Saccharomyces cerevisiae S288C: one gene and its partners. The protein of the gene in region 3 binds, or shares a complex with, the protein of the main gene of each other region. Each region holds a gene or a part of one and is shown on either strand. Other genes may lie near its edges.

What was found.
Region 1: POP5 (region 3) and POP4 share a complex: the UniProt entries of both Saccharomyces cerevisiae proteins name them as parts of the nuclear RNase P and RNase MRP complex.
Region 2: POP5 (region 3) and POP6 share a complex: the UniProt entries of both Saccharomyces cerevisiae proteins name them as parts of the nuclear RNase P and RNase MRP complex.

What each region holds. Positions count from the first base shown.
Region 1 is NC_001134.8:727,054-730,303, forward strand, and holds POP4 (RNase P/RNase MRP complex subunit), read left to right. Parts: upstream 1-1,831; coding exon 1,832-2,671; downstream 2,672-3,250. Other genes in the region: RCF3 (Rcf3p), read right to left, coding at 1-21; RIB5 (riboflavin synthase), read right to left, coding at 333-1,049; SHG1 (Shg1p), read right to left, coding at 2,681-3,109. UniProt on the Saccharomyces cerevisiae protein: Required for 5.8S rRNA and tRNA processing; associated with RNase MRP and RNase P.
Region 2 is NC_001139.9:545,102-548,050, reverse strand, and holds POP6 (ribonuclease P/MRP protein subunit POP6), read left to right. Parts: upstream 1-1,893; coding exon 1,894-2,370; downstream 2,371-2,949. Other genes in the region: NAG1 (Nag1p), read left to right, coding at 751-1,242; IMO32 (Imo32p), read right to left, coding at 582-1,610. UniProt on the Saccharomyces cerevisiae protein: Component of ribonuclease P, a protein complex that generates mature tRNA molecules by cleaving their 5'-ends. Also a component of RNase MRP, which cleaves pre-rRNA sequences.
Region 3 is NC_001133.9:80,894-83,806, forward strand, and holds POP5 (RNA-binding protein POP5), read left to right. Parts: upstream 1-1,812; coding exon 1,813-2,334; downstream 2,335-2,913. Other genes in the region: FUN19 (Fun19p), read right to left, coding at 1-1,058; mRNA splicing protein PRP45, read right to left, coding at 2,442-2,913. UniProt on the Saccharomyces cerevisiae protein: Component of ribonuclease P, a protein complex that generates mature tRNA molecules by cleaving their 5'-ends. Also a component of RNase MRP, which cleaves pre-rRNA sequences.

The DNA of each region.
Region 1 (3,250 bases), on a different chromosome or scaffold from region 3:
GGGGAGAACGTTACCACCCATAGTAGCAGCAGTTTTTGTGTCGTTGGTATTTAGGGACGGTTGGTTACAGTGGCAATAATTGGAAAGTTCTTTCACAACAACACAAAAAAGGTGGAGAGAATAATTTGTACGGAAAAAGTTATACCTTTGCATGTCACGTGAACCAACAGAACATGGTAATACATAATGAAGAGAAGTTGCCTAAGTACCTTAGCTACAGTACCAAGTTCTAATCTCATCATTATCACACATTTACAAGACTATTTTTGCAGCAGATGGAGAGATCACTTCAAAAATGCGTTTATGAAACCTATTTATGACGAATTTTTTATTTATTTATTTAGGTAGTTTCTAACCTTCTCCTCGATAATGTTTGAGATCATAGTATTCAAAGTACTATCTTTCTTTGATATTTGGTTTTCCAACGTTAATAGAATTTGCTTCTCAATAATCTTCCCAGTCAAATCTACTTCAATATTAACCTCGTCGCCAATTTTCTTCAAAGGCATGATAACATTGTCTTGGGTGTGCTTTATCATACTAATATAGAAGGCTCCACCTTGCGAAAGTGGGTCAACCTTGATTATGGTCAAGGAAGTTCCATCTATACAAATGAATCCCTTTTCTACTATGTATTTAAAGTACTCTTGATCTCTTAACTGAAACCCAAAAATAATTGAATTCCCCTCAGGTCTTCTTGAGACAATATTAGCAACAGTGTCTACGTGACCCTGTACATAATGACCACCGAACCTAACGTCTTGAGATACCGCTCTCTCCAAGTTGACCTGGGTGCCTTGAATCCAGGAAGCGACATTACTTCGTTTTATAGTTTCTGGTGATATCCCAACTTTGAAGGAGTCGTTATTAAACTCGGTCACAGTAAGGCATACCCCATTTACGGCTATTGAATCTCCAACGTGACAATCGGTGAGAATACTCCCCGCATTGCCAATAGTAATAGAAACTCCTTGACCTCCACTTTCAGAGTCATCATATGGGTTGTTTTCCAAAACAGTCCCCATGCATTCTACAATACCAGTAAACATTGTGCTATGGTTACGATCTCACCAATTGGTTTGACATGTACGTTAGGAAGTACCGTCTTTTTATATCATTTGGATGGATCTGGAATATGACTAATAGATAGTTCAATAACCTTCCTCCATGGAAATTACCGAAAAAAAAGAAAAGGACGGAATTGGTACCCGGAGAGTACTTGGGCGGCTACTTTAGTTTTATATAAACCAATATCGAAGACAGTGATCTTTTTACAGCGAGCTTGAACACAAAATAACTACCGGGGGTAATCGTTCCCACAGAGGCAACATTAATGAATCCTGGGTTAACATTAATACCTACGCGACAAAAATCAATAAAAGAGATTGCTAGCCATAAATGAAAAAAGAGGAAAAAACATGCAGATTGTTTTTGAGCTTTTATGTCATAACAGGTGTATTTATAGCAGTATGAATAGTTTTACTAGCCAATATTCATTTTTTTTGAATCGATGTAAAATTTTTGGATACAAGAAAAATTGCACAATGTTAAATTTCTACAGAAAGCTCATGCAAAGGATGGAAAACTGAGCATTACTGGCAGCTTTGTGGGGTAGTTAAAGAAGTTTATTCTCCGTGGTTGCAGCTGTGGTGGTCTTTTTACTGCCTTTATATCCCAATTCATCCGCTTTTTACCCGGTCCGTTGATTTGAGAAAAAAAATGGTACTCAAAATAGTATGGCAAATATACTCGATGACATGAATAAGCGGAGAGCAATAATCTGTAAAGACTAAAGAAAATAAGCACGATTTGGACTCCCCTATTTGTCAGAATGGATAGAACTCAAACGTTTATTAAAGACTGTCTTTTCACGAAATGCCTGGAGGACCCTGAAAAGCCCTTTAATGAAAATAGATTTCAAGATACGTTGTTGCTACTGCCAACTGATGGCGGATTGACTTCAAGGCTTCAGAGACAGCAAAGAAAATCAAAGCTAAATCTTGACAATTTACAAAAGGTCTCCCAGTTAGAGAGTGCAGACAAACAGTTGGAAAAAAGAGATTACCAAAGAATCAACAAGAACTCTAAAATCGCATTAAGAGAGTACATCAATAATTGTAAAAAAAATACAAAAAAATGTCTGAAATTGGCATACGAAAATAAAATTACTGATAAGGAAGACCTTTTACACTACATAGAGGAGAAGCATCCAACGATATACGAATCATTACCGCAGTACGTTGATTTTGTACCGATGTATAAGGAACTATGGATTAACTATATTAAAGAACTTTTGAACATTACAAAAAACTTAAAAACATTCAATGGATCATTAGCATTATTAAAACTATCTATGGCAGACTATAATGGTGCGCTGTTACGCGTTACAAAGAGCAAAAATAAGACTTTAATAGGCCTTCAAGGCATTGTGATCTGGGACTCTCAGAAATTTTTTATCATGATTGTCAAGGGCAATATAATAGACGAAATAAAATGCATTCCAAAAAAGGGCACAGTATTTCAATTTGAAATCCCAATATCAGATGACGACGATTCGGCATTGAGATATAGTATACTAGGCGATAGGTTCAAGTACAGAAGTGTGGATCGTGCAGGCAGGAAGTTCAAAAGTCGTCGTTGTGATGATATGCTATATTATATACAGAATTAGTAAGAGTTATTACGTACTTCCATTTGCTTCCTCTTCATAAGAGTTCAGTGTTTCCTGAAGTTGTCCCTTTATCATTTCCAATAGTTTGGGATCCTGTAACTTAGACCGTACATAGACATCCAAGTCAAATTTCTTCTCACCATCACCATTATCCCCCTCCATTTTACTACCCAGCTTTAGGTAGTTGTCCTTGACCAATTGTGATTCAATCAATGCACTGGTTAGCCCTCTGTTTTTAAATATTAATTCTTCATCTTCGTTAACCATTTCTTTAACAGTACTGGCAACTCTTTTCCGAAGCGCTTGTTCAAAAGATTCACTATTCTCTTCTGTATTATTCCATGGGTTAGACAATATTTCTCTTTTCAACTTGTCAAAATGTCCCTCCTTCTTATACTTGTCTGATAGTCTTTTACTATCTTCTTGATTATACGCCATTTTTTGGATTTGAAATAAGCTCTACTCTCTTATACTGTGTTTCAGCTTCGCTAAATAAAGAACTGATTTTCTTACGTATTATTTCTCTAGTATCTCTCGTTTTCAAGATATAGAAAAATAAGACAAAAAAAAAGGCCATCA
Region 2 (2,949 bases), on a different chromosome or scaffold from region 3:
TAAAAATAAACGAAGGATGCGTGCTGGGTAGACTTTTAGTAGAACTCTAAGTGTGAAGTATATATACAAATAACAAAAATAATATATGAATAAATGCAGTACTTTATGAAACTCTATTCTTAGCACACCAGTTGAAATACACAACGTAAGCTTTTATTTTTGTATCTTGAATTTCGTGTCACACACTCTTTGCGTTCCTGCTCTCTTGTTCTCTGGTGAACTCGAAATAAGCAGTAGAGAAAATAAAGGAGAAACAGGGAAGAAATGGAGAGAACGAACGAGGCTTTATCTCATTTTATTCTACTCTTTGCTATATATACATACGTACACCTCATTTGCATCATACCGCCCAAATTTCTTTAGCCACAATTCCATGTTCGAACCGCGAACGTGAAACTGACGATCTTATCGTATGCATCAGCATCATCTCTTTTGGCGATTTGCCGTTACTAGGCCTTTAAACTGGTGTGGCACTGCCTACACCCCATCACCACTCACACAATAGTCCGTATGTCATGTGCTACGGCAAGCGCACAGCCACCGACTGGTGCTACTGGCACCTTGCTCCGGGGCGCTTGCCTTTAATCCTCGTGCCGCTCCACAAAATCGACGATGCTTTCGGCACATTCCCCAGGCTTCTCCGCATTTACCCAGTGACCCGCATCGATGTCACGTGTTTCAAAGCGTGGAAAGAACGCGCCGATGATCGGAAGATACTCGTCTACCACATAATGCGATTGAGTAGCCCTGATGAATAGCGCAGGCCGCGTCCATCGTTCACGAGCAGGATCTAGGGGCCACGCGGCAATTTCACCTTTGACAATGGCATCTTTCAGTGTTGCGAGGGGAATTCGTTCTTCGAATGTATATGACGACACAGACGATGAATTGTCCATCTTGACCTTTTTCAGCGCCGTTAGGAGAAACCGCCTTACTAGCTCATTGCCGCCGATCCTCTCTGCAAGGTGTTCATCAGCCTGTTTCAGCGTGCGGATAGTTTTGCCCTTGTCGTTGACGATTTCCATCAGCGCTTTGATGTATTCGACAAACTCAGCGTTAGGGCGCAAACTCACCGGAGCGTTCTCTATACAGACTAACATCGAACAAAGTTGCGGGTTTTTCAGGACCAGCATCATGGCAACTTTACCACCCATTGAGTGTCCTATTATAATAGGGCCTCCATTGGTGTTTAATTCGTGCTTTGTGATAAAGTGTTTCACGTCTTCCGACATGACTTCGTAGTTATGGACTGAACTGTGTGGTGAGGATCCATGATTTCTTAGGTCCAGCAGATACACGTCTCTTCCCAATTTCTTGTTAAGGTTACGGCCAATGCTTCGGTTGTTGAGCTTGTTACCGAATAAGCCGTGAAGTATGATAATAGGTGGTCTTGGCTTCCCTTCATCCCCAGTTTTTACTGCATCTCTCTTGATTATGTCATATGAAAGGTCCAGTGGGACTTGCTTTTGTTGCAGCACCTTTGCTAATGAATGAAAGGCACATAGTGACTGCTTAAAAATGCAGGAACTTAAATTATTCCGAATGGTATTTTGTCTCACATATATTGTCCCATACTGTGCCAGGATCCCGGCTTTACCCAGTATCATCATTGTACCGTTACCAATTCTCCTCGTATATCACGGTTAGTTTTTAAACCTCGGGGTGACGTTTACTATTGGCGTACTAATATATTCTTATTTTCTTTTCTTTTTTGTTGGCAGTTTCAAGCAACACATGTACTGGATAACCAACCCCCGCACGCTCTTGGAAAAAATTGAGAAGGCATCGGACACTTGCTGATGAGTATTTCGAAAAATTCCATGAAGATGAGGCCAAGATTGTTTGGAAGAGATTGAAAAGAAGAAGAAGAAAAAAAGATAAAAGCAAATCAAAATGATCAATGGCGTATATTACAATGAAATTAGTAGAGATTTGGATATCTCTTCCTCCACTCAATGTCTTCGGTTTCTCAAAGAAACAGTTATACCGTCCTTAGCAAATAATGGTAACAACAGTACATCAATACAGTATCATGGCATATCGAAGAACGATAACATTAAGAAGTCTGTAAATAAGTTAGATAAACAAATCAACATGGCAGATAGAAGTTTGGGTCTACAACAAGTAGTTTGTATATTCTCTTACGGTCCACATATTCAAAAAATGTTAAGTATTTTGGAAATATTTAAAAAGGGTTATATTAAGAACAATAAGAAAATTTATCAGTGGAATAAATTAACATCGTTCGATATAAAAAGAGAAGGCAGAAATGAACTACAGGAAGAAAGGCTCAAGGTTCCAATTTTGGTCACCCTTGTTTCTGATTCAGAGATCATTGATTTAAACCTACATTCATTCACCAAACAATAAATCGACCAGCTCTTTAGCATCCATAGCTACTTCTTGCATTTGTACTTTATAATATAAAGCATTTTTAGAAGGCTTAATCGATATCAGAACTACCAATTGTTCCTACTACAAGAAGTATGTGTCATTGAATGAAAGAAAAAAGGATGCATGGAAATAGCACAACTTTATTTATTTTCTTCCCTTTGGAAATCGGAAATTCAATGATATGCCCTCTGATATAATAGCAAAGACATGATCGTTAATTTAGGCCTCGCTTTGAATCCATAAACCACCGCAAAAATGCAAAATCTACGGATCTTCGAAGAGGCCATGTTTATGTTGGTGAAGTTTGTCACAAGAACCCTAAAACTTTCACTAACATATACAGTCTTGACCCATGACAATAAAGGAATATGGAAAAATATAAAAAAAGATTGTTAGGCTCCTACTTAGCAACTTTTCTTATTTCCATATTCTAGTATCAGTGGTCACTGTGAAGTAGTTCCCTTAAACAATTTCTACTTTTCACTAGATATAAAGTAAAATGAAAGTATGCCAAATTCGTGTCTGTGTTAATGCGTGTTTTTTAATAATTTTGTT
Region 3 (2,913 bases):
AAATCACAAGGTAACCTTAGAGTTTGAGCGAGAACTAGTTCAGCAGGGTGTAGCTCGTTCCTCAGCGGGTCTGTGGACAGGTCCATTGGAGACCCCTTCCACTCGATCTTGAGTGACTTGTTACTGTCTGTAGGAAGCGTAGATAAGGGCGGAGAGTAATCTGGTAATTTTTTCCATGAGACGTTTGGTATATATTGAGGAGCATCATGAATCGCCTCAATGGATGCAATGTTAGTGTGAGGAGTGGATGCAGAGGGTGAGAACTTCTTGGCGCGATGTGGACTGGTAGTCATCGTTCTTCTTTGTGGTGAGTATACCTTGCGTTTCCGTGGTATCCATTCAGTGTCGGATTCAAACTTTCCTAGATTGTTATTGTAGAGAGCCTGTTTCCTCATATTATATCTTGCTTGTCTATTCAAATTCGGAGATGCTAACGGGGAAGGTAATCTAGAAGAAGAGGAAGGCAGAGGAGGAGGAGTCATATCATCATTGTATTTGGAATATTTATGTCTAGCATTATAGGCCAGATTGTTGTACCGGTTGATAATGTTCTTAGAATATGGTTGGGCCAAATTGCTGAAAATTTTGTATTGAGACAGAAACCCGTAGGTGGCGTAGCGGTACCTTTTTCTTGATAACCCATTGGGCCATACAGGCTTCACGAACAGCACATTCTCTACAGCGCCTTTAGGCGTAGATCCCACTAGCACTGAAGAGGCCATGCGGGGTGAGCCATTGTGGCTAATTTTCGACTCCAGCTTGGGCGACAAAGGTGGCGATGGTATTATATGTTCATCAACCAAGGAGTCAATGCTGCCAGAAAAGCATCCATTGCCATTATTTTGTGAGTTCTGGTTAATTCTTACGTCGTACGAGCGCCCATAGGGTGAATTATTGCTATAATCACTCATGTTTAAACCGTTTTTATTACTATCGTTATTGTTGTTACTTGCTTTCAAATTCTGATTCAGACGTCTGAAAATGGACTGCGAATCATCCTTACCAATGTAATTCATATTTAATTGAGACTTTTCAGATTCAGGAGAATATAATCCCATGTTTCCCCTATAAATGTTACGATGCGCGAATATCCTGTTTATCGATGCCCAGTGTATGAGCCATAACGGGGATGTTATGAACCATGTGGCTACTTTTATAAGCGGTTCTCTTAGGAAGAAGGGGGTTCTTGATAGACCCCTGCACCTCATCTAGCGGAGGTGCACGGATGTACCAACAGTTTTAGTGAACATTATTCACTAAAGAAGCATTGGGCATACTCAGAGCCAATGGCAAGCTCGTTTACCAGTTCAAATATGTCGTTTCATTATCTGTATGACTGTCGTAACTTTGAATCGATCTAATGTGTTGACCCTGTCTCAGGCTCACCCATGGCGGCGCCTGCACCTGTGGGTGAAGGAAGAAAGACGATGTTTGTGAGGGAACTGAATTGGGTTGAAGTTCATATCCTAAACAAACACTTCACCAGCCATGGATGCATGCCTTGTCTTTTCGCAGTTGGTGGCATGAAAATATATATCACCCACCAAACCCTCTTACTCTTTTCTTACCAAGTAACTCCAGTAAGTGCTCGTTTTTTTCTTCTTCCATTCAAACCTGCTTAAAAACCTCGACAAACGAGCCCCCAACGTACTACCACAGCAACCACTCTGGTTTTTCTATCTTGTTGTCTTTAATTGCCTCCTGACTTTGTTTTGTTTTGTTCTTGCTTAGCGCTCTTGAAAAATATTTTACTTTTCACTATCAGATTAATGTGATAGCAATAGTTAGTGCAACAAAGAAACAAGTCGATAAATGGTACGTTTAAAAAGTAGATATATCCTTTTTGAAATTATATTCCCACCTACAGACACCAACGTTGAGGAATCTGTGTCGAAAGCAGACATCTTGCTTTCGCATCACAGAGCATCGCCTGCGGATGTGTCCATAAAGTCGATACTCCAAGAGATACGACGCTCGCTGTCGTTGAATCTGGGCGACTATGGGTCTGCAAAATGTAACTCTCTCTTGCAGTTGAAATACTTTTCAAATAAGACGTCTACGGGGATAATCCGATGCCATCGAGAGGATTGCGACCTTGTTATCATGGCATTGATGTTGATGTCGAAAATTGGCGACGTCGATGGACTGATCGTGAACCCCGTCAAGGTAAGTGGGACCATCAAGAAAATAGAGCAGTTTGCTATGAGAAGGAATTCTAAAATTCTGAACATAATCAAGTGTAGTCAATCATCACACCTCAGCGATAATGACTTTATTATCAATGATTTCAAGAAAATTGGAAGGGAAAACGAAAACGAAAACGAGGACGATTAGAATATATTAATATATAGATGTACACGTATATGCAGTAGTTTTATTTTTTTATCTATAATACAACTCAAGCACAAGAATGCTTTGTTTTCCTAGTGCTCATCCTGGGCCTAGGCGCCATAGTTATCCGATTTATCATCGGATTCAGCTTTAGTAAACTGAATGGGGCCGTGAGAACCACTGGCACCTTCACTCTTAACATTGACCGCTTCGTCCAGCTTTTCGTAGTTGGTCTTGTATATGCTTTCAATATCTTGTTGGACGAACAGTGGGTTGTCATAAACCTGGTCTTCATGCCTTTTGGCGGAGGCATTTGCCCCTCTTGTGAAAAATCTTGAATCGTACTGCAGATCCGGTTGTTCTGAACGCTTTGCTGCGCCCAGAATTATCTTTTCGGATACGTCTCTTCCTTGAGAGTACGCCAGCTCTTTTAGTCTGGCCACTGTGCTCGTTTGCTTTTTGGGCTTAACTATTGCTCCCGTCTGCGGAGTCCCGTTGTGGTATCTGGCTCGTTGGCTCAATTCTTTCAATTTAGATTCTTTAGCAAGCATTTCCTGTTCCATAGCAAGCCGCTTCAATTCC